3 linked regions of the Lonchura striata genome follow. The protein of the gene in region 3 purifies or fractionates together with the protein of the main gene of each other region. This does not show direct contact. Links are inferred from orthologs where the notes say so. Each region holds a gene or a part of one and is shown on either strand. Other genes may lie near its edges. The genes, in order: FBXO42, FHL1 and RBPJ.

Evidence for each region.
Region 1: the proteins of RBPJ (region 3) and FBXO42 purify together in Homo sapiens (affinity purification with mass spectrometry; 3 studies listed by BioGRID and IntAct, counting the BioPlex papers as one, with this or other methods). This does not show direct contact. The link is inferred for Lonchura striata from reciprocal best matches to the Homo sapiens genes RBPJ and FBXO42.
Region 2: the proteins of RBPJ (region 3) and FHL1 purify together in Homo sapiens (affinity purification with western blotting; 4 studies listed by BioGRID and IntAct, with this or other methods). This does not show direct contact. The link is inferred for Lonchura striata from reciprocal best matches to the Homo sapiens genes RBPJ and FHL1.

What each region holds. Positions count from the first base shown.
Region 1 is NC_134626.1:6,609,817-6,617,173, reverse strand, and holds the start of FBXO42 (F-box only protein 42), read left to right. Parts: upstream 1-4,264; 5' UTR 4,265-4,349; intron 4,350-7,357. Other genes in the region: SZRD1 (SUZ RNA-binding domain-containing), read right to left, coding at 402-452. UniProt on the Homo sapiens protein: Substrate-recognition component of some SCF (SKP1-CUL1-F-box protein)-type E3 ubiquitin ligase complex. Specifically recognizes p53/TP53, promoting its ubiquitination and degradation.
Region 2 is NC_134616.1:6,663,434-6,671,391, forward strand, and holds the start of FHL1 (four and a half LIM domains protein 1), read right to left. Parts: upstream 3,014-7,958; 5' UTR 2,887-3,013; coding exon 2,784-2,886; intron 1-2,783.
Region 3 is NC_134606.1:18,657,517-18,665,103, forward strand, and holds the start of RBPJ (recombining binding protein suppressor of hairless), read left to right. Parts: upstream 1-4,501; 5' UTR 4,502-4,541; coding exon 4,542-4,561; intron 4,562-7,587. UniProt on the Homo sapiens protein: Transcriptional regulator that plays a central role in Notch signaling, a signaling pathway involved in cell-cell communication that regulates a broad spectrum of cell-fate determinations.

The sequences.
Region 1 (7,357 bases), on a different chromosome or scaffold from region 3:
CGGGGAAAGGCCTTGGGTGTGCGCCCGCAGCCCCGCCGGGGGCGCCGCCACGCCGGGGTCGCACATCCCGGCTCCGCTCGCCCCTCCTGCCTCACCCCGCGGCCAGCGGAGCTCTGTGCGAGCCCAGGGGGGTTTGCGCACCGAGCAGCGGAGGACGGGCAGGGAGCTGCTCGGAGGAGGGCCCCGCAGCACCGGCGAGCAGCGGGGCTGGGGGCGGCGCGCAGCCCCCCGCGCCGAGCGAGCCCGCGGTCCCTTTAAGAGGCCTAGCAGCGCCGTGCGGCCGCCGCGCCGCCGGACGCGCCCCGCCGCCGCCCCCTCAAGCAGCGCCGCGCCGCGCCGCCCGCCCGCGCCTCCCCCCGGCGCCCCGGACCCGCCGCGCCGCGCCGCGCCGCCGCCCTCACCCCGCTGTCGGCCGCCTCCTCCCAGCTCTCCGCGACCTCCTCATCTTCCATTTTAATTCCCGTCCGCCGCCGGGCCCCGCGCCCCGCGCATGCGCGCGCCGCCCGCCGGCCCGCGCCCGGCAACGCACGCGCGGCGCGCGGAAAGGGCGGGAAGCGGCGGCGGGGCGGGGCGCCACAGCGCCCCCTGGCGGCCGGGAGGACCGCGCTCGGCGCGTGCGTCTGAGGCGTTTTCCTTCCATTTTTGTGTTTTCCTTCAATTTTTGTGTTTTCCGGAAGTTTTGAGATGTTTTCCCTTAATGAGATATTTTACCTTAATTTTGGTGTGTTTTCCCACAATTTTGAGGAGTTTTCCCTTAATTTTTAAGTGATTTTCCTTGATTTTGGTGTGCTTTCTCTTAATTTTGGGGCCTTTCTCTTAATTTTGGTGTGTTTTCCCACAATTTTGAGGAGTTTTCCCTTAATTTTAAAATTATTTTCCTTTATTTTGGTGTGCTTTCTCTTAATTTTGGGGCCTTTCCCTTAATTTTGGTGAGTTTTCCCACAATTTTGAAGAGTTTTCCCTTAATTTTTAGGTGATTTCCCTTGATTTTGGTGTGCTTTCTCTTAAGTTTAGGGCCTTTCCCTTAATTTTGGTGTGTTTTCCCACAATTTTGAGGAGTTTTCCCTTAAAGTGATTTTCCTTGATTTTGTTGTGCTTTCTCTTAATTTTGGGGCCTTTTTTGTTTGTTTGTTTTCCTATAGTTTTGTTTTCTCTTAAATTTTTGGGTCTCTTATCTTAGTTTTAGGGTTTTTTCTCTTAATTTTGAGCCGTTTTATCCTAATTTTGGGTTATTGGACAAATCTCTCCTCAAATTTAGGCTATTTCAGCCACTAATCCAGCCTCTGGTCCCTCCTGCAGACATCCAGGTGTCCGTGTGTCCTTCCATCCAATTTGTGCCTCTTTATTTAAGCCCAAATCTTCTCTTATGGAGCACAAGGATCAGCTCCAGCCTTCAGAAACATCCAAAATCCCCCAAGCCCCCATAATTTCTTAAACCTTTCTCATTTATATCCAAGATATTCACCACTCCGATGTTGTCCTTTGCACTCCGAGCCACACAAAGCTTTTTGGAGTGGGATTTGCTTTTCCTTTTCCTCCCTCAAAAAGCGCCCCTTCAGCATCCTAAAAACCCCACAGGGTTCACACAGGGAGTGGGAGAACCCTTAAAATCCGAATTTTTCCCCAAATTCCCACCTAAGAGCCAGAGTTTGCCGGCAGATGGCGACTGACTCCTAAAAATATCCCAATAATCCTCCAGCTAAAACAAATCCTTATCCCTGCGGTCTGCCCCGACCCTGAGTCTCCCGTTCCTCTGCCAAGCCCAAAATTTGGGCAGGGAACCTCCGGACAGGCCGCAGGTGGATTTTGGGGGGATGTTTATCCAAGGTGGAACTGTTGGAGGGGGTCTGGGGGTTGTGCAGTGCTCCATGGGCATTAAATCCTTGGATTTGTGCATTTTTGGCAGCTCAGCGGGGCGGGACTCGGCGTTTCCCCCCACCAGGAGAAGCTGCAGCAGGCTGGAGCTGTTCCTGCTCATCCTCTGGCGTTTTCCCAGAAGCAACAGGAGCTGAGTTTTCCAGCAGCCAGAGCCTGGCACGGTTGGCTTCATCCCTTCCAGTGTTCCAGCGGCGCTCCCTGGGACGTTTCCTTCCATCCTGCTGTAAAAAATCCCCTTCCCAGCCATGCCTGAGCCCGAGCAGCCCAAAAAAACCAAGCGGGATCTGTTGGGAATGAGGCACTGATGGCTGTGGCACACAAAAAGGGGGCTCACCTGGAAGGAGACCGTTGGAATTTGTGGTATTGGTGATTCTGAGATTGTAGGAAGTCTCTGTTTTTTTGTCCCGTTGCTAAAGAAGAAGCCATAATTTGTCTGTGTTGGTTGTTAAGGTTGTTTATTCTTGCTTATCTCTAACATGTTCTGCTGCCCTGCCATAGGTGTGGGGCTCTTTTTTTAGTGGGACATCACAAACATTATATATTAGAAACTACGTGTGCCATATTTACAATAATGGGCCAATATTTATAATTTATCTTGAACAGTGTGTCCCCAGCCTAAACCAACAGAAAAATGCCAACACCACAGTGAAACATGGAGGGCATGAAGAAGGAGAAAAAGGACAAGGCACACCCAATTTCCTCCATCTTGTCCCCTTTGGACCCCTCATCTAAAATTTTACTTTTGCACCCGTGCCACAATTATTACTGATATCAAACACTCAGAGCTGGTAATTGATCCTGTAAGGTTGAAAACTCTTTTCCATGGCCAGAGATCACAGCCAGTGTCTCTGGGGGCTCTGTCCAGGGGGGTTCCTGACCCCTGCCAGGGTGCCAGGGCAGCCAGAGGGAAGCTCTGGAATCCCACAGGAGACAAAACCCACATGTGTGACCAGGTTATCCCAGCCCTGCACAGGGACACCCACAGATCCTCCCGTGTTATCCCAGCCGTGCACAGGACACCTGGGATATCCCACAGCTCCTCCCGTGTTATCCCAGCCCTGCACAGGACATCTGGGACATTCCTTGGCTCCTCCCGGGTTATCCCAGCCCTGCACAGATCCCCCGGGACATCCCAGGGCTGCACCCAGGTTATCCCAACCCTGCCAGGGATATCCACGGCTCCTCTCGGGTTATCCCATCCCGGCATAGAGCACCCGGGACATCCCATAGCTCCTCCTGGTTTATTCCAGCCCTGCACAGGACACCTGGGACACATCCCATAGCTCCTCCCGGGTTATCCCAGCCCTGCACAGGGACATCCCAAGGTTCCTCCTGGGTTATCCCAGCCCTGCACAGGGACATTCCTTGGCTCCTCCCGGGTTATCCCAGCCCTGCACAGATCCCCCGGGACATCCCAGGGCTCCTCCCGGGCTATCCCAGCCCTGCACAGGAACATCCCAAGGTTCCTCCCGGGCTATCCCAGCCCTGCACAGGGACATCCCAAGGTTCCTCCCGGGCTATCCCAGCCCTGCACAGGGACATCCCAAGGTTCTTCCCGGGCTATCCCAGCCCTGCACAGGGACATCCCTCAGCTCCTCCCGGGCTATCCCAGCCCTGCACAGATCCCCCGGGCCATCCCAGGGCTCCTCGCCGTGGATCCCGGCTCCCCACGGGCTCCTGGAGCCGCCCTGGGGCCGGGATGCCGCGCGGGCTCCTCCATGCGGGATGCGGCTCTGTGGGACACGCAGGGTGGCAGCGATCACCTTTTCCCTGGAGAATAATGTCCCACCGGCGGGACGCGATGCCAAGACACAGCCCCGCGCAGGGCTGCTCCCCCATGGAATGGGCTCCGCTCCCTCCCTTCCTCACCGCCGTGGGGAGAGGGGCAGCCCTGAGGGCACGGCCACATCCCGCCTCCCTGCCGAGCCCTCAGGCGCTCCCCGCCTCTGAGGGGCACGCAGGGACACGGCGGGGCTGCCTGCGGGCAGAGCGGGTCCCCGTGGCCCAGCCGCGCCTCCCGGGGCTGCGGAAGAGGGCGGGACACCGGGAGAGAGCGGGAGAGAACGGGACAAGGAACGGGACAAGGAGCGGGAGCCGCCCCGGCATCTCCGCCTCAGCGCCGCCCTCCCCAACATGGCGGCCTCGCCCGCCCGCCTCGCCCACCACGGCACTAGGACCGTCCCAAGATGGCGGCGGGACCAGCCAAACACGGCGCTCCCCGCGCTGCGCCGCCAAGCGAACACTTGACCTTCCCATCATGGCGGCACCATAAGGACACTCCACGCCCGCCCTATGTCACGTGATGTCGAGGGCGGTCCCGCGCCTGCGCAGTGCGCGGCCGGCGCGGCCGGGGCAGCGGCGGGAGGGCGGGGAGGGAAGATGGCGGCGCTGGTCGGAGCCGTCACCGGGGCGACGCAGCGGCCCCGCCGCCCGCAGCCCTGAGGGCCCGGCCCGGCCCGGCCCGGCGGCAGGTGAGAGCGGCCCCGCGGTTTGCCTTCCCCGGGCGAGGCCCTTTTCCGGGGAGCGGGGCGGCGGGACGGGCCCCTCGGGGCGGGACAGGCCTGGTGTGGAGGGGAACCACATTTGAGGGTGGAGGGTAAGGGGAGCCCCTGTGCCAGCCCCTGTGCCAGTCCCTCACAGCGTTTTGGGGGTGGCTGCGGAGGGCAGAGCCCACGGGGGGCTGCAGCCCCTTCTGGGAAGGGGAAGCCCCTTCCCAGCTCTGGCAGCCCCGGGGCTCCCTCAGGGCGGGGAGAAAGCGAAGCCTGCCCCCCTAAAAACCGGGTTGCCCTCTAAAAAAGCCGTATTTCCCCGCTGAAAGCCGTGTTTCCTTCCCAAAAAGCCAAGCTTTCCCCCATCCCGAAAGCAATGTTTCTTCCACGATATGCTGTGCTTCCTCCCTAAAATATATGTTTCCCCCCAAAAAGGACATTTCCCCAAAAACCTCATGTTTCCCCAGAAAAGCCATATGTTCTCCCTAAAAGCCGTGCTTCCCCAGAAAACCTCGTGTTTCCCCCAAAAGAAACACATTTTTCTCCTAAGACCTCTATTTTCCTCCCTAAAAGCCATGTTTTCCCTCAAATGCCATGTTTCCCTTCTAAAAGCCAGGTTTGTCCCCCAGACTCCATCCTTCCCCCCAAAAAAACATATCCGCCCCCCCCCCCCAAAAAAAAAAAAAGGAAAAAAAATAAAGCTCAATTTTCCCCCTAAAAGCCCTGTTATCCCAAAATTCAGTGCTGGCATAGGGCAGTGCCAAGGCGCAGGCTGGCAGTGCCGGTGGTGGGGGGAAATGGCTTTTTTTGGGGAGAAATTTGGCTTTTAGGGGGAGAGCATGGCTCGTCGGGGAGGAAACAGCTTGTGTGTGGGGGGGGATATGGTTTTTTGGGGGCAAGTATGTTTTTTAGAGGGGGGATCAGACATGGCTGTGGGTGCCCCCCCAAAACCTCAGCTCGCGTTGTGTTCGTGTGAAAACAAAGGTGAGGCTCGGTCCCCGCTTGAAGCCGCCGGGTGCGTGTCCGTGCCCCGCTCTCGGAGCGGGATCGAGCTGCCCAGCCCGGCACCCCCGGCGAATTTGGGGTGTCGCTCCCATTGTCTCCGCTGCCGGTGTCCGCTCGGGGCTTTGGGAGCGCGGTTCGGGATTGATTTGGGGCGGTGTGCTTGTCACGGCGGGGCTGGGCTGGGCTGAGCAGCGCTGCAGGAGCTGCATTATCTCATCCTTCCCAGCCTCTCGGCTTTTCCACTCGCCTTTCCCCGTCACTGGGGCCGGGAATCTTTTAGGAGGAGCGGGAGCAGGGCTGGGGTGGCTCGCTGTTCATGACCCGAACTCCAGGGAATGCTCGGAGCAGGAACAAAAGGGGAGCGGGGAATGGGAGATAACCCCGGGATCGCCGGGAATGTGGTTTGTGCTCGGCTGGCTTTAATCATCCCTGGGAGCCGGCTCGGGTCAGCAGCTGGAACTCTTCCCCGTGGCTGGAAGGATCGGGAATTGCGGTGAATTCCCGCGGAGGAGCTGCTGACCTCAACCCCCGCCCTGGATGGGAAGGGACCTTTCCCCACCTGTCCTTCAGGAGCGGAGCCTCCCAGGGAAGCCGCGGCTCGGGGGCGGTGCCGCGGTGTCCTGACAAAGTGCTTTATATCGCGACATAGCCACGCAGCCGAGGCTTGGCCTTTCTGGAGAACGAGTGCCAGAGTGAGAGGTTTCCTCATTCCCACAGCCCTGGGTGTTCCCACTACCATCTCTCCTTCCTTTTCCTTATGCTGATGCCAAAGAAAGGCTGAAAACCGTGATTTTTCCCTCAGGTTATGTCCGCCTAGGCTTGGTATTTCCTTGGTGTTACAAATGGGAGAGAAAAGAGCAAAATCTTGGGCAGAATTGCAGCTGTTTCATAGAATCGAGAAGGGTTTGGGTTGGAAGGGCTTTGCAGACCATCCCTGCCATGGGCAGGGGCACTTTCCCCTATCCCAGGTCCCTCCAAGCCTGTGCATTCCCAGCTCAGGAATGGTCTGGCTGTACGTTCCCAGTTCAGGAATGGTGTGGCTGTGCATTCCCAGTTCAGGAATGGTCTGGCTGTGCATTCCCAGTTCAGGAATGGTGTGGCTGTGCATTCCCAGCTCAGGGATGGCCTGGCTGTGCATTCCCAGCTCGGGAATGGTCTGGCTGTACATTCCCAGTTTGGGGATGATCTGGCTGTGCATTCCCAGCTCGGGAATGGTCTGGCTGTACATTCTGAGCGTGGGGTGATGTGGACACTTTTTGCAGGGCAGGGTGGTGCCTGCCTTGCACAGGTGTTGTTCCCTGGTGTTGGGCTCCACGCTGTTCTGCAGGAGTTCGTGTCTCCGTGCTCGGGCGGCGGCAGAGCCACATCCCGTGGTTGTTTTGGCGTGGCAGGGATGTTTGTGTGTATTTTTCCTGCTGTGTTCCCTGACAGGTGACTCCACCCAGGCAGCGTTGCTTTTCCAGGGTGGCAGGTGAAGCTCTTGGATTCAGAAAGGCTCTGGACAATTTAATCATTTTATCAACACGCAGCATATACGATTTTCAGTTTCAATTGGAGTTTCCTCCAGCCTTTATTCCCTGGGACTCCGTTTTTCCCAGAGTTTGGCTGCTGGTGCAGCCCTGAGGGGAGCTCACCTGCAGTACACGTGCTGCTGCCCTGCCTGGGCTTGGAATGAAGGTGGGGTTGGTTCATTCCCACTGCTGAACGTGGGTGACCTGTGATTTGGGGATTGCAGCCACTGCGTCGGGCACCTTCTGCAGAGGTGTTGGGATGTGCTCCTCATCCCGTCCTTAATCTCAGGAAATGCAATGCATGCAGCAGTCTGCACATCTGCCAGGAGTGACAGGTTTGGAGTGGGAGCGCGGGGATGGTCTGGCTGTGCCTTTCCAGCTTGGGGATGGTCTGGCTGTGCATTCTCAGTTTGTGAATGGTGTGGCTGTGCATTCCCAGCTCAGGAATGATGTGGCTGTGCATTCCCAGTTCAG
Region 2 (7,958 bases), on a different chromosome or scaffold from region 3:
CTTCTGCTCCACAAGAACAGCCCTTGGACAGCCACACCTTCTATCCTTCAGAGATCTCAAACCCTTGGGCCCCAGGGGCTTCCAGACACCTCAAGTGGTGCTGACACCAAGGAATCACAGTGCTGAGGGTCAGGGCCACATCTGCACCCTGCAGCACAGCCAGCTTTGCACGGAAAGGTAAGGCCTAAGCAGTGCCACCCCACAAAAACTGCTGCATGCACACATCCCCTGCCTCCCGCTGGGCTCCTGCATCACCCTGGGCTGGTTCATCCCAGTTCAGCCAAAAACCCAAAGCAGCATCACAGTGGTTTGCACAATAAATGGAACCAAAGCATTCAGGGAAGGAAGCTGAAGCACAGCTGATAAGCAAAGCACTTAGCACAGGCTATGTGTTAACGTCTCTGGGGAATATGTTTAAATGTGATAAACCACCAAGAAGAACTTGAAGTGTAGTCTCTAAACACAACCAGAGAAACTGTACTTACACTTTACAGATTATTCTGCCACTTAAGAAAGAAGATGAGGTTGGAGTTGTTAACCCTCTGCCCTACACACAGTTGCACATGGAGAAAAAAGTGCTTTGTGATTCTACATTAGTTTTATTTTTTCTCAGCAGACTGAGTACACAGCCCCACAGTGCCAGGCACTGGCTACACCTGCCTGTTTCAGATCAGTCCTGGCAGCCCTGCTCTGTCACCTGAGTTACTATTCTCAGCATTCCTCTATGCAAGGTCGCATGGTTTGCTATAAATACCTGGGAAACCCTTAAAAGAAGGGTCCTGTTAATCCCAAATGCAAAGTGACACTCAGGACTGTACTGGCACAATGCCCTGGGCAACCAACATTTGCAAAGCCCAAGGAAAGAAAGAAATCTCTTATAGGTCGTTTTTGTTCTGGTATTTTTGAAAATACCAGAGCTGTGCTCTCCCACTGCCAGGCTGGGGCACGTGCGAGTCTCATACTCTATAATTCAAAAATTAATCTGTTGATAAAATGAAAGCTTCTTTATTTAGAGCAAGAACAGCTCCAAGTTCCTCAGGCAGTTGCCAGTAACATTCCCTACAGTCCTATTGCCACCATGTGTGAGCACATCCCAGTCATTACTAAATCTTCACAGTTCCCCAGGGAAGTAGGGACGTGCCATTTATTAAAAATCACTGGCCCAGCCCCGCAAACACTTTCCCCAGGGATTGCTTTGGCACTCAGTGCAGAGCTCAGTGAAGGCTAACAAGGCACCACTGCCTCAAGTAAAGCTGAGCACTTTAGGCAGAGTTTAAGCAGCAAAGTCCAAACCTTTCAAAACAAAACAAGTCCTGTCCATTAATTAACTCTGTGGCTGCATTAAGTTTTGTTTTTGAGACCCGACTACTATGTTCCCAGCTAAGCACTGGTCTGCCCCACCTCAGCAGCTGGGTGCCCTTCTCACACCCAGGGGCTCCCAGGTGCCAAAATGAGATTTCCTCCTGCTCTGGAGGATCCAGCCCCACCTTGAGCAGGCACTGTGATACCCCCACGGCTGCCCTGGGGTTCCCAGTGGACTGCAGGATCAGACATTGTCCTGTGACTGTTTGGCAGCAGCAGTCCAACTTCAGCATCTGCTCAGAACACCCTGCAGCATTTTATATTACAACACACCATCAAGTCTGTGAGTTCCTGCCCCAGGGGACATCCTCTGAGGAAGATGAGAAAGAAAAAAATTATATAGCTGGGAGTGTAATGGAAGGATGCTACAGCACTGCTCAGTCTTGTGGGCTGAAGTTAAACATCTTATATCAAATGATACCACAGAAGTCAGATTTACTCACACTGGTGTCCTGCATAACCTGTATGTGCATCCCACAAGCAAATCCTGAGCAGTTCTGTGCTGTGCAAGCAGCCTCTCGCATGTGCCTCGTCCTGGGAAGTTGAGCAGGAAGCTGAGCAGCAAACTGTGCCTTTTCTGCCCAGCTTTGAGGGGGCTCCCTGTTCCCAAGTCTCACAAGCACCCCTGGCTCCTGGTGCAGCAGCTGAGTTTGGTGCCCACAGGAGCTGTGCCCCACACTGACACCCTGTCCCCAGGCACATCCACCCTCGGGGTGTGCCTCACCAAGAGATGCAATGGCACCGCCACTGTGCTGTGAATACACCCTGGATATGCACAAAAACAGCTGCTAAGAGTGAGATAGGCTTTCAAAACCCCCAAAGAGCTTCTGATTGTCTTCAGCTGCAGGGCTAGAGGAATGAGGCAGGATGGGAAGACACCACAGAGCTGCATGCCATGTAGACATGTAAAATATGATCTTGAGATTCCTGTCAGTGTTAATGGAAAAATTAACATTTTCCTGTCACTAGTAAGGGTCAGCCCATCTGAACTAAAAGACAAACAGAGAAGAGGGACTAATCACAAACTTCCCACCAGAGCAGAGAAAACCATCTGGGTTTACACACTGGTCTCCCCTCTGCTCTGGGTTTCTCTGCTCACTGCAATAAACTTGCAGCAAGGAGGAGTGTTGTCCCCTATTTTCACCAAGTCTTTCTCAAATAACAGCTAACCCCCAGCCTTCCCACAGAAGCAGATACAAAAACATTTAAAATCCAATGCATTTCACAAAACAAACGAGGCCACCACCAGCACTCTGCTCCAGCACCAGTCTCCCACTGGTTATCAGCCCGTTTGCCATCAGAAGTTACAGCTGCAGATTGCTGAGGTTTAGGTCTGCATTCAAAGTTCTTTCTCTGGCACAGGAGCCTTTTAGCAAAACTTTCCTCCCCATTTACCAGGTGTACTCCCACACCCACTGTACCTGTGTGCCTGTGGAAAGCCATGGCCAGCAGCCCAAAGTCACCAGCAGCCCCGCAGGTAATGGAGTTCACAGGCTGATAAGGAGCTGCCCCATTTGATAACATACATTTAAACGGAGGCTATTAATATGGACAGGACTCCTACCAGATGTCCACTCCCCTCCCCAGAGATCTCAACCTTAATCCCCCTTGGAAATTCTTACCATTTTAGGTGATCTGAGGGAGAAGAATAGGATCCTGAGACCTCTAGGTCTCTGCAGGCAACAGTCAAATACCTGCCCAGCTACTCAGCACCCAAATTAGTCCCAAAGGCAGAATGAACTCATGAACTTGACCCCATGCTGGTACTATTTGGCCTTGGCTTTAGAGTGAGATTGTGTCTCGTAACAGTCCCAAGCTAAATTACAGACCCAACATGAATGCTGCTCTGCCATGGCTGAAGAGAAGAGGTGATCGCAGCCCCGCGGGGGCCAGGGGGCTGCAGCCCCAGTAGCCAGCGAGGAGCTGTCTTCTGGCCCAGAGAGGATGTGGCTGTACCCCTGGGGACTGAGCTGACAGCCCACAGAAACACCAGCACATACATTCATGGATGGGTTGGACTTGCTGCCAACATGGAGGTCATGCTGAAGTTTCACTGCCAGTAAAACTGCCATTCCTGGTCCTTCCCCAACTTTTTCCTTAAGGAAGCTCACAGCATTAACTGCTCAAAGGGAGCAAATCCCTTAAGAGCAGCACTTAGAAAGATGGGTGTCATGATATGGGGCTTCTCTAGCATCTAGCATGGCTTTAGAGGCACTGGCTCATACCTCTGTCCTCTAGACTCAGGTGTTCCCAAAGCTCTCAGGAAGATCTCAGCTCCATGATTCCAGCCAACCTGTTTCCACCCAAGTCACAGCAGGAGGGGAGGGAGCCATGGCTCGGGGTCACTCCTGTGGGGACCCCCAGGCTGCAGCAGCTCCGCAGCCCCGCACTCACCCCGAGTTATGCAACTGCCGGGGACGCTCAGGGCCAGGGGCCAGGACACCCAGCTGCCAATCCTGCCTCCCACTGACGCACTGCACGGCCGTGGGAAAGTCACTGAACCTCCCTGACAGCCACTGGGAAGAGCCAATGTTTATCATTCCTTCCAGGAAGCCCATCGTGGTGGTGTCTGGCCTCTGAAGAGCAGCCCTGCTACAGCCAGGAACATCTCTGCTTCCCAAGAGCTCCTCAGCCACACACACGTGCAGTCTCCAGCCTCAGCACTGGCCTTGGTGACTCCCTGAGCCTTCACACCCATCCTAGCCCCCCAGGCAGCATGTGCCCAGGCTCAGCATCTCACCAGCATCCTGACATCTCCAAGTTTCCAACATGGCCTGGAAAAGGCCACTCCTGACAGCGTGCCATTCCAAAGAGCACAGAATGCATCCACTGGTGCAGCACACTGAGGCTGGGAAACGTGCTAAAATACTAATGCACTGAAACACTTTGGCGAGGAAAAACACAATGTTATTCTGCCCCAGCTCATCTATAAACTCCAGCAAATTGTTTGCATAATTCAGATGGCAACAGGAACCCTAACAACTCGTATTTTCCTGTTCTAATCTTGCTGTGCGCAGTGTAATATTTACAGACATGAGTTCATTTTTGGCAATGCACATAGAGTTTGCACCATTAACCATTCTCATTCCTTTCTAGCTCCCTACACAAAGCTCTGGCACCCTCCCACCCAGCTGTCATTTCCTGCTTTCCCCAGAATGCCCAGGTATTTCCCTCAGAAGCCTTGGCTCCCATCCTGGCTGATAGAGCAGAGTCTCTGTGCAGTGCCAGTGGCTGCCACACCCCGAGCAGAGGTGGCTGCAACCAGCAGCAGTTTGGCAGCTGCAGAGGGCTGTGGAGAGCAGGGATGGACACTTGGATGTCGTTTCATGTGCACAAACACACGTGTGTCCACAGCACCACAACAGGCTTGGGCTGGAGGAGAGAGGAGAAGGGAAACGTTTGGCCAAGAAACAAGAGAGACCCAGACGTGTGGATGCCTATGGAGCTCCTGGCACAGCTTACTCTGCAAAGCCCCTTCTGATCTCCCAGAGCAGACTTTAATTAAAGCCATTTTGCTTGAATCTGTGGTCTCCTGGTCCAGCAACAGGAAAGGAACAACCTTACTGCTGCTCTTGGTTTCTTGCTTGGTTTTAGCCAGATAACTTTGGACAATTCACTTTTCCTGCCCAAGACTCTCCTCATCCACACAAACCCAGGTGATTAAACACAAAGGTGGTGCAGATGTAGCACAAGTGCCAAGGAGAGACATCATTGCCCCATGAAACGTGTCAAGGAGTAGACACCTCCAGGAAAGAGAGGGTGCCCCAGAACAGAGGTGTGGCAGCCCTGCCTGAGCCTTGTCTGTGCACCAGGCACCCACAGGTCCCAGAGGGAAAAGTGCTACAAATACACCAGGGAATGCACAGCAGGGCACAGCAGGCTTGGGATGTCATGTTTTTAACATTAAACCTGTCCTGTAGGTTTTCCAGGGAGCTGCCCTGGACACACTGATCCCACCCAGCAGGTCCAACTGCAGAGCAGCATGGCTGGGGCATAGTGTCATCCACTCGGATAAACAAATGATTCACGTTGTGATTTCCAGAGTATTTCCTTGCCCCAAGAATCCTTCCAGAAAAGGTCTGGGTCTCTCAGCTTGCTCACACATCCTGCTGTCATTCAACAGGCAGAAACTCCTAAAGAGAGCTGCTCTAAGCCAGGCATTGATGAACTATTAGTCACCATCATCAAAGAAAGCAGCAGTAAATACCAGCAGCAGAGCACCTGTGCACCTCCTAAAGTAATGCTGTGCCTCCTGCTTCCATACATGCTGCTGGCAATGCACAGTGCACCTGCACAGAAGAGCACACTGCCATTCACCAGGCTCCCCAGAAAATGAGAGTCCTACAGTGCTCCCTGCCCTTCCTGTCTGAGGGCAGATCAATTTTTATTTTATATGTCTCAGGTTGCGTGTGTGTCTCTTCCCACAGAAAAGCACTCCTGCCCAACAGATCTCAGCTATAAACTTCCTTGGCTCTTCTGAGGCAGAAATAAAACTGTTTTTAAAATCAGTTCTTTGTTTTAGTATAAAGGCAAAGTTTGCAGTTAGACCACCAATAAGAGAGTTGGGTTTGAGAGAAGAGAGGACACAGATACAGCTCTCTCCAAGGAAAAGATCTTTACAGGTGTAGCTGAACCATCAGAGAGGCATAAGAGGCAGCAGTCCCCAGTGCCACAGAAATGCTGGACAGGTTTGGCACAAGGACTGGCACTGGGAGCTGATCCAGCTCTCCAAGCACTCGGTATCCAACACGCCTCCTGCTCCAGCACAGGAGCAGGCACTGCAGAGCAGTGCTTGGATATCCAGACTGGACTGCCCCCAGCCAGAGACCCTGCATGGCACACTCACACCTGAGCCACAAAGGGAATTTTCCACCTCGTCCTTTCAAAACTGGACAGTTTTGATGAAAGTGAAATATCCCAAAAATGCTCTGGAAGTCTCAAATCCAGCTCTGTGCACAAGGCTGTGCCTTGGCACCCCTGAAGCATCCCACAGGCACTCACAGGAGCACAGGGCAGAGACGGCTGGGCTGTGCCCACATCCAGAGCAAAGCCAGCAAGGACATCCCTGCAGGGACAGGGGAATGAACACCCCAGGTACCAGGTGAGCCCCTGGTGCTCCCAGGGAACCAGCTCAGAGGGACAGTAGAGAAGGAAAGTGGCAAGACCTGGCAAAAGCAGGATTCTTCCAGGCTGAGGTCCAGCTCACAGCTGGGTCACAGCAGCAAGCTGAGCCTTTCAGTGCCAAAGGAAGTTTTTTGGGCCAGCTCTGAAGGTAGGGGTAGAGGAACTGGGAATAGATTTATAAGGAAGCAGGCCCAGGAGCTCAAACAGAGTGTGAGTAAAAACAAAAGGCGGAAAAGAAGACAGGATAAGAAGGGGGGAAAAAAGGGATAAGGGCATAATAATTAGGAAGGAATGGTCAAGAGATAACAGAGCCCATCTGAAAAAAAGCAAAACCAGGAAGAGATATAAACCAAGTCCTTCCCCATCTGCCTCCATCTACAGGCTGGACTGTTTCCAGGACCATTCCCATGGCAGCTCCAAATTTATTTCCCTGCTGCCATCTGCTCTGTGGCTCCCCTCCACACACGCTCCTGACTGGCACTTCTCCCCATCACCTGTTGCTGACATGGCAGACCTCTCACTGCTGCTGGAGCCAAGTGACACTGGGGCCTGGGGGGAGTGTCTGTGCATAAATCAGGAGCTGCTTTGTAGTCCCAAAGCTTTGTTCAGCTCCTGTTCCCCATTCTGGCTATGACAGTGTGGTGGGATGCAGGCATCAAACAAAGCATGGCAACCCCTGGCTCCAGAGAAGACTGGGGAGAGGAGAGGCTGCAGCAGGTTCTGGGCAGAGCTGGTTTTGAATCAGCTCCAAAATAAAGTCAACTTCCTCCTATCCCTAGTCCTCTTTCTTGCATTGCAGATAAGATGCCAAGGCTGCATCTCCCAGCATCAAAGGATGTTGAGTGCCTGCTGTAGTCCCAGCAGTTAGATTTAGACCTTCAGTGCACACTCAAAAAGGGACAGCCCCAAAAGATTGAAGATTTTTAAAAAATATCTTAGAAAGACAGATGTCTTAGTCTTTAGATGCACTTGCTTAAACGTGAGCTGTGTTTCTCTTCCCAGCTCTGTCTGCCAAGTCCTTCTGCTGTGAGTGTGCAGCAGTGGGCTGAGCCCCCTTCATGGACTGCAAGGTGAAGACCACAGGTGTGAACATGTCCATGAAGGTCATACAGCCCTGAGGGGAGACAAAACTTCCTCTACTCCTCTTGGGAGACAGGGCCACATGTACTGCCACATGTACTGGTCTGATTCAGAAACCTCATGGGGCCAACCAGCTGCACCCCACCTCAGTTATTCCCCAGCCTATTACCCCAAAGCTTCACACTTAGGGCAGTGAGCTCCTTAGGCCAACTTTAGGTCTTTCTTTGTTCAAGTTTAGTTGCATTCATGGGCAGGGGGAATGACCAGTGGAGCCAAACGTGAGGCAGATATTTGCCAGTCACAGCTTTCCCCTGGTGGCTTAGCCCTGGCCTCAGAGCTGAGAAAAGTAACTCAAATCCCCATCAAATAAATCCCACAGTGAGCCAGCCAAG
Region 3 (7,587 bases):
GTTTTGAAAACATGGATATTTTTACACTTTATCTTGCTGTATTCCTTGTAATGAATGACTTTGTAATCCTGCATCTTAGAACTTTAATCTTAGAACTGCTTTGGTGCGTGCACACATTAGCCATGGCAGAAGGTCAGGGCAGCACAGCCACCAAGGTGGGGCCTGGGGAACCCTGCTCTGCCACTGCCTGTGAATGCTGGGGTGCAGGGGGCTGGCACTACCCGGTGTGTGGTGGGCAGCCACATGGCATTTTAGCCTCCAAATGATTCACTGAGGTCTGGTGGAACCTGCAGGGACACCCTGAGGATGAGAGGACTGATGGCACCAGCCATCACTGCAGAGGGCTGTGCATGGGAGGCAGGGCTAAGGCAATAACCTGGTGCCACACTTAACTGGTGGACAGGCATCGTGCATGAGTGGAGGAATGCTGAGTGAGAGAGGTTCAGAGGTGCACTCTTTGTAGAGCCCAGTAAAACTAAGGAGGTATGCAGGGTAATTTACATGCAAACTGACAAAACATTTCACCCAATGGAAAATAAGATACTATTCTGGGGTAGGGTGAGGAGCAAAATTTAATACAATGCAAAGTGTCTTAGCATGCTGTTCTAGAAAGTATTTAAAAATAAGAGGTTATAGAAGTCAGTCATCAAGCTGTTCACACTGTTAACCTATATAACCATATGATGCTATTACTGTTAACCTCATCTTCCCTCCCTTCTTCCTTCCTAATGTTTGCTATACTCTTTTCTTCTTGTCTTTACTCTAAAAGAACACTCTGGGAAGGGACTGTACTTGCTTTCAAGGCAACACCATAATGAGGCCCAAGCTTGACTATAGCCTCTGGGGACTGCCACACCAAGGTATACTTACACCGGAGCCCGCATTACGACATGGATTCAGATTTTTTCTTTGTTCTACCATCCTCTTTGAGACTACAACACACAAGCAAAAACTATTTAACAATGCTCCTGCTGCAGACTGCTAACTAGGGTATTCTTTCTCTTTGTCATCCTTAAGACAATGTTGCAAATTCCCTGAACAGTGTTGAACATCAGCATCCATTTCAAACAGCAGACATTTCTGACATTGAGCTGGCTGGCGAGCAGCTTAAGCGATAACTTTTGTTGGCACATGCACCACAGTTCAGATCTAAGAGATGCTCTGTGGGCAACTGCCTGTTTATTTGCTTTCCTAGACACGCGATTGAACCACACTGTACATCCTGTGCTTATGAAATCCCAGCAGGGTTGTATCACAGTACCTACCACTCAAATGTGTGATTTACACCACCTACAAACTACAACGTCTCAAGATAAACCTGCTCCTTATAATGAAGAGATCCAGATAACTGCGGTTCTCACTACCTACAGTGCTTTTTAAGGTCACTGAATTTTAAAATAGCTGGGATTTCAGAGGACACACTGTGAGATATTTTTTGGTAAGACAGGCTGATCTGAGACAGAGTCTCTTGTCCCCTTGCTCATGTCTCACATGCTTGTGCTAAGCACATAAGAAACATGGAATTGCTTCTACAAAAAAGTGTGCAGGTCTTTTGTTTTCTCATCTTTTTCCAAACCAATGAGGTGGGAAGCAGTTGCCAAATGAGAAGCATATTAATTAGCTAGTGTTGTGCCCAAAGGAATGAGCTTATGGGAAGCCCAGAGCCAAGGCTGAGCTGGAGAAAGTTTGTTCTGGACCGGTCAAACAAGCTGTTGAAATTTTTGGCCTGGTTATCGCAGCTTGCATCTCATGCTCCCTGCTCATGACTGCCCTTCTCCTCCAAAGCTGGGCTTCTTGAGCACTGCTGGCCAGCAGCTCCTGTCCTGCAGCACCATTGGTGGGACAACACTCCAGGCCAAAAGACCTCCCTGCCCACACCAATGGCCTGATCCTAACAATTCCGTAGGCTCGTGCTAGGCTCCTTGTCTTTCCTCGTCTTTCCACACAAAGCAAGACTGAGTGCACAGGGGAACCATATGGATTCCCAAAATGAAGCTGCTGAGATCCACTAAGCACTGGCCAAGTGGTTCTGTCCACAAAACATACATGTTGGTGAATCCAAATTCAAGGCGGTCCTGTCCCCCAGTTGACAAGTGAGAGTAAACTGGATTTCCTGCATGAACAGCCTTCCATTTTCGAAGGTGGCTAATGATTCTGAGCACCCAGCTGGAGTCACCTGGCAGGGCATCTGCTTGGAACACAGGTGAGGCCCAACACCTGTGGAAGTCACATCCTTCAAATATGCCTGCAAGCTGTGATTTTCCAAATGGTTTCTGAAGTGTCAGGCCTGATTCAGAGCCCTTTTGACAACCTCAGCTGAGCTTAAATCAAAAAGTCAAACTACTAATTTACATAGCAAACACAAAAATTTAAATGGTGCAAACCTGGTATTTAAATTTTTCTACCTCAGCTCTGGAAGTGCTTATATTTGTTACAGGCCAGAAGGTGAGGTCTAGTTCCCTGCGGTAGTGGATGCTTTTGTTTCCAATAAAATCAATAGAAGCTGTTCACAATCTATGTGAAATACAAACTTTTAGCAGCAAGAAAAAAATTCAATGCATAAACAATATTTAAAAATCCTTTAGGGTTATTATCTTTTCTTCCACCAGCTATTCACATGAAGTTCAAGCTATTGTTTTTGATTGGAATAGTATTCCTGGCCTTTTGAACTGTAGATAATTTATAATTTAAGAAAACAAAATCAATGGTTATTTGTTTTATAATGTACTGCTGTCAGTGATGGAAAGGACTACAATGGTTTCTATGATTATTAATTCTTCTAAATAATATACCTGCTCCAGTATCCAATTAATCTGATTATTAACCAAAGTGCCTTCATTGTCAATTATTAAAAGAGACCAGACACTGCAGATTATTGTGTGCTATATTTTTAGATTTTCCAGTTTGATTCAAAACACACTAAAAGAGGGGCCCCACAAAATAACCATCTAGAGACAGTCCATGGCAAACATCCAGAAACTATTCTTAACGGAATGGAGTTAGCATGAGCTGAGATAATTCTTTAGCCTTGGGAGAAGAAAAAAAAAAAAAAAAAAAAAAAAAAAAAAAAAAAAAAAAAGAGAGAGAGATGTTTTTAGGAAAAGATTTCCAAACGGATTACGAGTTGCTCTTTGCAAACAATACAGATTTCCAGTATGCATTGTGTTTTTGCCGAGAACTGTGCGCACAAGGGAGCCAATCAAAGTCCTCTTGTATCTAATGAGTAGGGGGAAATCATGATGGGGAAAGTCCCTTAATGACAGGAGACAATAGCTGTTTGTACAGTGACACGTACAGAAAACTTTGTCACTAAGGAATCTCTTGAAACGTGTTTTTATTTATCTGAGACATTATTCATTCAATTAGCATAAGCAGTGAAGCGCATATGTGGGCAAGAAATCTGAAATCTTATTCGTGGGACTACTGAAATGTTATTTTTCCCCGTAATTTGGAAGACAGCAGACGTAGAGCTAACATAGTAAAAAAGATGTGGGCTTTGGAACCTCAACAATCTTTAATCAATGTAGCATTTGTCCCGGAGTTAGACTGACGTGTTATACTAAACACAGACGAAGTTGAAACAGACAGAAGTCTTAATGTAAAAGGATTATTTTTCAAACTTAGTCTCCTAATGGACAATCACACCCGCGCCCCGAAGGGTGCTGTTACATGAATCCAGAATAGGGATCGTCTTTTTCTGTGGTCTTTATCAGACGTGGAGCACAGCCCGTGCGGCAGATCGCTCGTGTCCCCGTGCCCGCACTCGGCCGCCTGTGGCCACGGGGCTCGCTCAGCTGGCTGGGACCCTGCCAGACCCCGCTGCTTCTGTTTGCTAAACAAACGCATCTTACGCACTTCAGCTGGGGATGAAAACAAAGTTATGAAACCGGGTTTCTCATGTAAAACTGACTTCTACAAAAAAAAAAAAAAATATGTTAACAATTCCACGCGAGGAACCCGAGAGGTCTTCCTAAGAGCTGAGGCTCCAAACCGCAGCCCCCCGCCCTTTATTCACCGTCAGACGAAGAGCTCCCCGCGCCCCGTGCCCAGCCCCGCCCCACGGGCCCCTCAGCACGTGCCGCGCCCGCGGGCAGCACGAGGCGCGCGGCCCCGCGCGCTCTCCCCGCAGGGGGCGCGGCTGCAGGCGGCGGCGGCCGCGGGCCGGTCCCCGCGCGCCAGCGGCGGCCCCGCCCCCCGCCCCGCCCCGAATGGCTCCTCCCCCTCCGCCCCTCCTCGCGCCGGCGGGGGCGGGACGCGCGAGCGGGCAGAGGGAATCCCTCGGTTTCCCCGGAGCGCGCTCCGCTCTCGCGAGACCTGCGCCGCTGTCCGCCTGCCGGCCGGCGGCGCACTCTCGCGAGAGCGGCGCGGTTCCCACGCCCGGGCTGTTGTGTCTGAGGGAGCAGCCCGGGCGCTGAGTGGGCGGCGCGCACCGCCCCCCCCCCGCCCCGCGCGTGTCTCGCGGGCCCGCGCACGCGCGCTCTGGGCCGTGGGGAGGGGGGCGCTCTCGCGAGAGTAGGAGTTTTGGCGAGAGTTTGTGGAAGATGGCGCCTGTTGTGACAGGGTGAGTGCGGGGCGTTCGCGGCGCCCGCCGGAGCCGCCGCCGCCCGCGGCTGCCGGGGCGAGACCGCGCCGCGCCCTCCCGCTCGCTCCTCGGCCGCCGCTCGAGCAACGGGGCACTGCCCTCCGGACGGCCCGCGGGCGGGCCCTGCGGCGCAAACCTCGTGGGGCTGGGGTCCCGCCGGGTGGGCGCACGGAGGAGGCGCCCCGGGCGCCGGCCCGGCAGCGGCCGCGCTCTCCGGCCGCCCCGCGGCGCGGCAGTCCCGGCGCGGCTGGGCGCTCACTTTGCTCTCGTTCTCTCCGGCACGGACGCGCCGGTCGGGACTCCGTGCAGGGTCAGTGCTCATCCCGGCTGCTTCGGAGCGGGTCCCGCTCTGAGGGGTCCCAGGGGAGCGGCGGAGCCCAGCTGGGAGCAGACCTGGGGCTGGCACGGGCTCTTCTCCCTTCTCGCTCGCCCTGGCTCGTCCCGCCGTAGGCGTGGGTCCTCCAGGCTCCCCCGGCTACGGACGGGGAGCGCTCGGACAAAGGCGTTTGCTGCTGCGGCTGGAAGTTGAGCGCGGTGCCCAGCGCCCCTCGCACGGCAGGGCCGGCCGGGGCCCGGCCCGGCGCTGTCACTGCCGGCGGAGCGCTCCGGGCGCGCCGGGCGCGGGCGGCTCTCCGCCCCTGCTAGCGGGACACCCGTGCCGTCGGGCTGGGCGACCGAGGTTCCCTTTCTCTCCTCTCTGCACACCATTCCCAGGGCTTTGTTGAGTTTTAGCTGCCTTCCTTCAAATGCTGGGCTGCAAGGAAGGGTAGCAGCCTCCCTACGCCACTAAGCCACGCTGGATCATAATGAATGGTAGTCTCCATCCCTTTCAACCGCACTGGGTAATACTTAATCATGGCTAGCCAGCTGCAGCATGTGTCACTGTAATAAGTGACACTCTCTTAGCCACCTACAGCTGATGAATAATAACAGATCCACTGCTGGTATACAGTGTGCAATCACACCTGCAGTGTCACATTGCACGTTGCCATCCTTGCCACATCTTGATTGCTGCTGCTGCTGCTTTTTTTAAGTGCTGTATCCTTAATATTGCACTACGCTGAGCAAGTGTGACCTCCCTCTATGTGTTGAGGGAAGAGACAGGAGAAGAGCAGGCTGTATCTGTACTCCACCTGTTCCAAATGAAATTTTGTCTCGTTAAAGTATTTCTAGGACTTTCTAAAACGCCGAACTTATTTTAAGATTTCGCAGTGTCTGTGACCTTCTGTCTTCCCTGTGGGATTACATTGTCTACAGCATTGGCTCTGTGGTTAGAGAGCAACAGCCTGCTTGGGGGTGGGGTGGAGTTGGTGGTTGATGCTTTTGTTCTTGTGGAGAAGGTAGCATTATGGTATTTTGTTGTTTTGATTAGCTGCAGTAGTGTTTCCAATTCCTCACTCTTGTTTGTCAAAAAATAAGTTGAAGCTTTTACTTGATTTCTTTCCTGAAGAAGGTGTCTTGTGGCTGATACAAAATTTCCCAATTAAATGTTCTTTAGGGAAGCTAATCTTGTTTGTAAATGATTCCTGGATTGTACTAGTTTAGAGGCTAGACTTGAAAGAAGGGAACAAATGCTTTTAAAGTTTGCTATAACTATTAGCCTGTGCTCCACTTAGTAATTAAGTTTTTCTATGTTTCTATTAGTTTACTCATCTGAATATTTGGACTCCATTTCCTTTTGTTTATTGATCATTACAGGATTGTCAGAAGTGATGTCATGTTTGTGACATTAGTTTTATCCTTTTCAGATGTGTGTTAAAATGTTGACAAAACAACTGTGGATTATTTTAAAAACAGTGATCAAATAATCAGAACAGTAGAAAAAAATGCCATTTTAATGAGAGTTAAATAATTGTTTGTAGTTTGGGATTTTATGCTACCTTTATTGTTTAAGCCCCTAAGTCAAATAATTATCTGGAAAAATAATTTTGTTTTCTTATTGTTAAATATTTCCAGTGTAGGTAAAATGAAATATGCTACCTTTTGTTGATGTTGTAGTTATATTATATGAAGGAGCCTGTTTTTTAATTGTTTTTATTAAATTACCTGTTTTTGGAATGTGGTTCTGATGCTGAGTTGTCTGTGTGTATTAGAATTAAAAATTGATGATTCTGCAGTAGGTGGTTGTTTTTTTTTTTCAAAATAGTATAGGAAGTTTTCGTTCTGGGCTGTTCTGTAAAAACTTACTTGGACGGGGGGAAAAAAGTGTTTTAAAAAGCAATAACTAAAGAATGTAATATGCAAATCCTGTACTGTGTTTGACTAGGCATCACATGGGCACTCAAACTTATAGCTCTTTTGCAGTCAGTGTTACTTGAATGAAAAAAGTTGTTTTGTTTTTCTTTCTTGTGAAAACTATGTGCCTAAGCTTAAGTTATGGTACATAGGTTTATGCGGTGTTGGAATGCAATAGCAGGAATTTCCTGCAGCACTTTTGGGGGGCAGTCAGAGTGTGTTTGTGCTTTGTTGTTGGCAGCATGTGGCACGCTCGTGCTGCTGCCTCACAGGAGCCTTCTGATGAAACTTGTGCATATGTACAGTGTGACAAGCCAAACTGCACAGTGTCAGAACCAGATACAGTGAGAAAGTAAACAGAAACATCAGACAAGTAACTTAAAAGGAATTACTATTCACAACTACTGTTTAAAAGAAGTGGATAATTTATGGCTGGGATTATAGGATAGTATTTTTTGGGTTTTGTGAAGTATTTTTGGTTTTGGTTGTGTACAATTTAGGGAAATAGCATTTTAAGATGACAAAATTAATGAACATGCTTCTTTATTATATTGTGAGCGCAAGCCACTTGTTTTTAAATAATTGCTATACTGCAAAAACACCTGTAGGCATCCATTAGCTTGAATATTGCTCTGCTAGGTCTAATAAAGCCATAGGTCAAAGAAAATCTCTAGTGCTATGAAACTAATTTTATAATTTTACAGTGACATAAAGTATGGAATGGTATCTTCTTAGTAGCCTGGGACAACCTGATCTTAGAAATACTGGAA